Mus musculus: one gene and its partner. Each later gene encodes a partner of the first gene's protein in a complex. Links are inferred from orthologs where the notes say so. Each region holds a gene or a part of one and is shown on either strand. Other genes may lie near its edges.

What was found. Proteins that work in one complex are often made in the same cells at the same time.
Region 2: Cep290 (region 1) and Tmem216 share a complex: the UniProt entries of both Homo sapiens proteins name them as parts of the tectonic-like complex. The link is inferred for Mus musculus from reciprocal best matches to the Homo sapiens genes CEP290 and TMEM216.

The regions. Positions count from the first base shown.
Region 1 is NC_000076.6:100,486,258-100,490,401, forward strand, and holds the start of Cep290 (centrosomal protein of 290 kDa), read left to right. Parts: upstream 1-1,324; 5' UTR 1,325-1,495; intron 1,496-2,021; 5' UTR 2,022-2,049; coding exon 2,050-2,151; intron 2,152-2,304; coding exon 2,305-2,382; intron 2,383-3,062; coding exon 3,063-3,132; intron 3,133-3,889; coding exon 3,890-3,936; intron 3,937-4,144. UniProt on the Homo sapiens protein: Involved in early and late steps in cilia formation. Its association with CCP110 is required for inhibition of primary cilia formation by CCP110.
Region 2 is NC_000085.6:10,549,955-10,552,778, reverse strand, and holds the end of Tmem216 (transmembrane protein 216), read left to right. Parts: intron 1-804; coding exon 805-1,006; intron 1,007-1,738; coding exon 1,739-1,754; 3' UTR 1,755-2,318; downstream 2,319-2,824. UniProt on the Homo sapiens protein: Part of the tectonic-like complex which is required for tissue-specific ciliogenesis and may regulate ciliary membrane composition.

The DNA of each region.
Region 1 (4,144 bases):
TGGACAATGCGGATAATACTGCTGTATCTCCACAAAGAATAATTCCAAAACTAAACAGTATTTAGAAATAAAGCAAACACTGCAATCAGGCCTACAAATCTGAAGAACGTCTTTAAAATTTGTTTCAAATACCATTTTTTTGTGCTATTTGTTTTTCTCAACCGCAGAAATCTTTTCAAAAGAAAAATGTAACTGTCTACATTTTTCTTTTAATTACTTAATATCTATTATGTATGATATGTATAAGTACCTTATATATCTATCCACGTATACATACATACATACATTCATACATATATACGAGACGCACTCTTTCAAATAGATGCTTACAGCTCCTAAAGTTACCTGCTGGTGTAGAATAGCTGTGCATTTGGCAACAGTTCCCTGAGTAAGAAGATTAACATCTGAGAAGGAGAAGGCACTTTCCCCCAAGAACTCCCTTGGTACCCAGCAAATGACAGCAAAATGCCATCGCTTGGCATGGCCCTCCTCCCTCCCTCCAGCCCGGCTTAAGAGCCTTGGGCGCACTAAGGCTCCTCTTTCCTTGGCCTTCACTCCACTCTTATTAACCTAATAAGCACTACAATCCGCAAGCTGCTGCAGGAGGCTGCCCCATCTTGACGCTCCTTCTTCACTCAACCAGAGCGTGAACTCAGGGGGTGCGGTGGGGGTGGGGGCGCTCCACTTTCCCAGACACCAAGGAGGCTGGAAACTTTTATTGACTCCCCTCTTAGGGAAGCCACTAACTGGGAGCCCCTCGCACCTACCTGAGTAGCCGGAGGACTCTTTCCCAAACCTCTGCAAGATCCGCCAGCCCTTCGGCAGCCCCAAGCTAGCGCTTCCCTAAAAACGCAAAGGTTCCCTGAGCTACTCCTGGCTGTGGGTTGACACGCCCCGACCTCACCTGAGGGCGGCTCCGCCAGGAGACGGTTCAGGAAAGCTTCTGGGATGGTGGACCGGAGAAGGACTCCGCAGAAAACACAGTCATAGCCTGCCACGCTCGGACTCCGGGGCGGCCGCACCTTAGCAGCCGCTCCTCCCGCCTCCCGAGCCTTCCCCCAGCTCTTCCAGGGCGGCCGCAGACTCCCGCATTGCACGCCGGGAACGCGCCGCTCTTCCCAAAAACTTCCAATCCCAGGATGCACAGCCGCGACGCCGAACTGCACTCTGGGACGTAGAGTCCTCATCTCACGGCTCTCCCTCATCCACAGTAAGGAGGGCTTGGAGGGGAAATAGAGCCGTAAAGCTTTTTCCAGGGTCGTGAAATGTAGTCTTCCCAGGTATCCCGGGGCCTAGTTCCGGTCTTGGCAGGCTGGGGGGCGGGGAGTGGTGTCGCCTAGCAGCCGGCGCCGCTTCGGCTCGGTCGGGAAGAGTTGGCGGGAGCAGCCTGAGTGCGCGAGGACCGCTCTGGGAAGCGTGAGGCCGGGGCGGTGGCCGAACCCGGAGGTGGTCGCTGTAGATGAGTGACTGCTGCTGGTGGCAGGTCTTGGTTTCGGTGGGTGGATCCTCGTGAGCCGGAGCCGCTTAGTGTCGTTCACAGGATCGTAATCCCGAGGGACAGGGTGCAGCCCTACCTATCCAGACCTCTGTCGCTCTTGTCTGCAGTGTCGTCTCGGCCTCCCTGATTGAGCTTGATTCCGCAAACACTTCATTTAGCTCAGTCTTTTTATCTACTTTAAAAATCCTCTGGTCCCCTTTCCTCAGAAGGTTTTCAAAAACTTCCAAACATCTTGGGAGTTGGTACCATCATTGATGGTAGGGGACTTGGAAAAGGGGCCTCGGGGTTTTAGCTCCGAATTCGTCTTAGCAAGAAAATAATAATTTAGCGTGTACATTATCGTATAGCCTGTGTCAGGGGAACTAATTTTCGTCGAGGCTGTTTGCCTCTGCATCTGTTTTGCAGTTCAGGAGCCATAGCTCTTAGCCAGCACCTAGAGAGTTAAGTAAGACCGCTCATGATCATGTAAACACTGCAAGGCCATTTTCCTTGAAAATGCTAAAATCCACCTGCTTCTTTGTAGAGGCTGAGAGACAGTGAAAGAATTCAAGATGCCACCTAATATAAAGTGGAAAGAATTAATCAAAGTTGATCCAGATGACCTGCCACGGCAAGAAGAGTTAGCAGATAAATTATTGATATCTTTATCCAAGGTACTTAATAAATGATTTGTACACAGAGCCTGATGTACAATGTCATGAATTGAAATTGCTTCTTGAAATCATTGAATGCTATAACTGGAAGAGTGCTTGTATTTAATGTGCAGGGTATGAAATAGTCCATTTTTTGTGTGTTTGTTTCCTTAGGTGGAAGTAAATGAACTAAAAAATGAAGACCAAGAAAACATGATACATCTATTCAGAATTACCCAGTCTCTAATGAAGGTTTGTAGGAAAGAGTGTGTAGGAAAAGAAATATTTTTTAGGAGAAACATAAAGAGTCATAAAGAATCATATGGTCAAATAAAATACAAAATCTCTCCCCTATAAGCTATACATGAAATGATAAGAGGATTCTAGATTCTTCATAAATAAATACTGAGAAAGAATATGTATTCTTTACATTAAGGTAAAAGCATATAGAAAAATATTTGGGGCCAGTAATTTGGGATATACTGTTCAAGAGTTTGAGAGTATATTTTGGTTATCAGCATTTTAGAAGGGAATAAAGGTTTTTAAATCATACTTGGTAAAGAAATGTACTTATGAAGGCAACATTAAATGTGTTGTATAGACTGAAGGGATGAGAGCTGATTAGTTCCAATTATAAGAAGGAATTACTAAATTTATTAATAATAACAATTGGGATAGTAAAAAAGATATTGAAAACATTTTAAGTAATGGCTATAAAGTTTAACGGAAAAATCAGATATAATTCAAAGTCTTGCCATTCTGGAATTTCTAGCCTTATGTATTTATTCAACAACTATTTACTGACTGTCTCTGTGTGTTAGTCATCGTACACACTACAGACTGAGATAGCAAATTCCACACAGTTTCCATTCCCACTGTTTACATTACAGTGTAAATAATACAGATTCTTCCCCTCTCGTTTTAATGTTCAGATGAAAGCCCAGGAAGTAGAGCTCGCTTTGGAAGAAGTTGAAAAGGCTGGAGAAGAACAAGCAAAATTTGGTAAATGTCTTGGGAAAAAACTACTGTGGTTCCATTACTTATTAGACAGTATAAAATCTATCCTATTCTATAACATATGTATTCAATTTATACTGAAAGATGCTACATCCTTGTGCAGTTCCAGGTACTGGCCTGAGTGCTGTGGTAGGGGGTGAAGAAAAGAAAACACACAGACACTTAGAACAGTTGTTTTCGGTTGGACCAGGCTCTCTAATGGAGCAACTGCCCCACCCCAGAAGCTCACTGTCTGTATTATATCCACTTGACCAGAGCAGTGGAGTTGTTGCATAGCTGAACATAAAGTCGAGTGAGTGCATACAGATAAACATGAAGGCAGGGTTTCTGCTGTTGAATAGGGAGGCAGATTTATCAAATCTCAGTAGGAGTAGTCTCTATAAGGGAGCCATAAACATTAGGGGGACATTTTCTGCACACCCTGTCAACATCCACAGTCAGACGAGGAGGGAAGGCTTTGCCGTTTGCCATAGGCCTGAGACATTTGGAGTTCCTGACGTGGCTTTGCCCATGTCAGTAGTACACACTGACTCAGGGCTCATGCACTGAAGCCTTCCTCTGCTCTCTACATGAGGCATTTCTAGAATGCATATTTTATGCATTTAGTATATAATAATTACTTTCCTGTATCTGTTAAGGATGGAATCTTTTACAGAGAACAGTACTATTTTATTAAAGTTTACTTAAAATCTGATTATAGGAAACTTAACCAATTAAAACATTTGTGTTTTTTTTTAAATAGAAAATCAATTAAAGACAAAAGTAATGAAACTGGAAAATGAACTGGAGGTATATATATATCCTTTTATATTTCCTTGTTTTTGAATTTTCTTGTAGTTGTTATTAATTGCATTATTTTAAATTGTTTTCAAATCCTCCCAGATTGGAAAATACAAGATTTTGTGCTCATGCGTTTATTCATTACACAGAATGTGCTTTTGTGACTTGAGTTCTAAGAATTATGCATCCAGTGAAGTAAAAACGGATCCCTTCTGAA
Region 2 (2,824 bases), on another chromosome or scaffold:
GTCCTGGAACTCTCAATGTAGACCAGGCTGGCCTCAAAATCAAGAGACCTACCTGTCTCTGGCTCTCCAATTTTTTTCTTGATACAGAATCCCACTGCTCCCTGGGTAGAGTCAGAATGGAAGCAGAGCCTCTGGAGTGAATGACTTTAATCATGTAATGCCCTGGAGCTTCAAAGTTTTAGGTCAGTGGGAATTAAGTTAGTTAGTTTATTTATTAAAGATTTATTTATTTTATGTATGTGAGTACACTGTCCATCTCTTCAGACACACCAGAAGAGGGCATCGGATCCCTCCCATTACAGATGGTTGTGAGCTACCATGTGGCTGCTGAGAATTGAATTCAGGACCTCTGGAAGGGCAGTCAGTGATCTTAACTGCTGAGCCATCTCTCCAGCCCCTAGGACTTAAGTTTTAAAAATGATATTCCCTTCTAGAGAAATAGCTCAGTGGTTAAGGGCACTGGCTACTTTCCCAGAGAACCAGGGTTCAAGGCCCGGCATCACATGGTGGCTCACAACCCTCTGTAACTCCAGTTCCAGAGAATCTGATGTGTTCTGACCTCCACAGGCATCAGGCTAGGCACATATACACAGTGCACACTCATATACAGAAAATAAGCAATAAATTAATAAAATATTTAAATATGACATCCCTACTCAGGGTAATTTTTCTCTGTTCTGTCTGTCTGTCACACCAGATACTTCCTGAGGTGGAGAAAAAAACAAAGCAGACTGCTGAAGCCAGGAAAAGCAGTTACCATCTTGAGGCTGACTGTGGGGACTGTTTTTTTTTTTTTTTATATAGGTACAAAGGGAAACCTCTGCCAGCGAAAGATGCCCCTTGGCATTAGTGTGGCCTTGACCTTCCCATCCGCTATGATGGCTTCCTATTACCTGCTGCTGCAGACCTACGTGCTCCGCCTAGAAGCTATCATGAACAGTATCTTGCTCTTCTTTTGTGGCTCAGAGCTGCTGCTTGAGATGCTCACGCTGGCCACCTTCTCCAGGTATTACTGCTGAGGGCTGGACTCCCCACCCAGAGAGGGATGCATTGCTCTTTGAAGCCTAGAAGATGTAGAAAACTGAATGTGAGGGTGTGTCCATGGGAATGCTTTTCTGACCTCCAGTAGGTAGAAAAGTTCTCTGTATATGTGTTCTGCATCTGTACATTCATCTTTGTGTATACACAAATGTTCAGGTGTGTGTGTGTGCAGACCAGAAGCTGATGATGTTAAGTGTCTTCATAACTTTACACATTATTAGATTGGAGAGTCTTTCCCTTGAACCCAAAGCTCTTCAATTTGCTTAGAGCAGCTAGCCAGCTTACCCCAGGAAACCCATTTCTCCTATGGGTGCTGGTCCTCATGCTTGAGTGGCAAGTACTTTATCCACTGAACCATCTTCCCAGGCCCCAAAGCATCTTTCCTAAGGAACATAGATAGTCTTCTGGTTCTTTGGAATCAAGAGACATCTAAAATGCAGAGTCCAAGCTAATAGTTGTTAGTCACTAGTCTTTTTTTTTTTTTTAATGTCCAGTGCTGTTTGACCCGCCTGTATGTCTGTGTGAGGGAGTCAGATCCACTGGAACGAGAGTTACAGACAGTTGTGAGCTGTCTGTCACGTGATGCTGGGAATTAAAGCTAGGCCCTCTGGAAGAGTAGCCAATGCCCTTAACTGTCCTGCCATCTCTCCAGCCCTATTCATTGGTCTTTAAACAGTGTCTTTCTTTTTGCCTTTAGCATGGACAGGATCTGAAGTACAAGAATTCCAGCTGGTGACAACACATATCCATCTGGTACTTCAGCCACACTGGTGAAAAGTGGTAGGTCGAGCTAACCTGGGAAAGGTTTGTGTGGTTTTTCCTCAGTGCGGACATTTGGGCGCTGAGCACCTACCTGAGGCCAGTGGCACCATCTTTAAAGCGGGATCATCAGCAGGAGACTCTTTCCTTTTGTTGTAGGGAGGGGCAAGGCTGTCCCCATCTTGGTGTTTCTAACAGCTTCCTAATGATCTCAAGTTCTCTTCTGTGGTCATCATGGCCAGAGCACCTTGTGTGGACCTTCTAGTTTTGTTTGGCTTCCAGCAGAACCTGAGCCACAGCACTCTGTGCACGTACATCTGTCCTACATGACCATGGAGAGCCTCATAATGGTGGGCTCTTGGGCTGATTCCAATGTGTGTTCTCCACGCTGCTCCACCTGCCCCCATCCTGCTCAAAGAGATGGTGATCTAGAACCCATTTAGTAGTTTATAGTAGTATTTTTCTATTCTGATCATGAAGCAAACACAAAATTTTTAATAAAAGTATTTTCTGATACAGGGCTGGTTGATTTTCTCCTATGACACCTCTTTAGATTTCCTTTCTTCTAAGTGAGGGCACAGACTATCCCAACAGTGTTTTCTGAGGCTGTGTTTAGTGGTAAGCTGGGACACAAAGACACTCACGGAGTGTCCCACCAATCCTTTCCTCTCATGCCCAAGTTACAGCCTGAATCCCAGAGCACTGCCTGTTTGTCATCTTCAGTTCTTTGGCAAGACTGTAAATGCTCTTCTCTGCAAGTCTCCTTGTATCTAAATTCTTTCCAGCATAGGCTATGCATAATTAGACATTGAAAAGTGTATTCTAAACCTGACCAAGATCTTTAGAGTTAACTTAAAAGAAACATGTATCGGTCAAGATCTTACTAAGCATTGCCATGTATTTTATCCCAGGAAGCTACTATGAGTAATGAAAGAATCTACTTCAGGAAGCCTTGAGGTCAGTCTCTGTGTCAGGAGGATCCTGGAATATGTTTTCCTAGACTGCCTTTTTTTAAAAAGAAAAA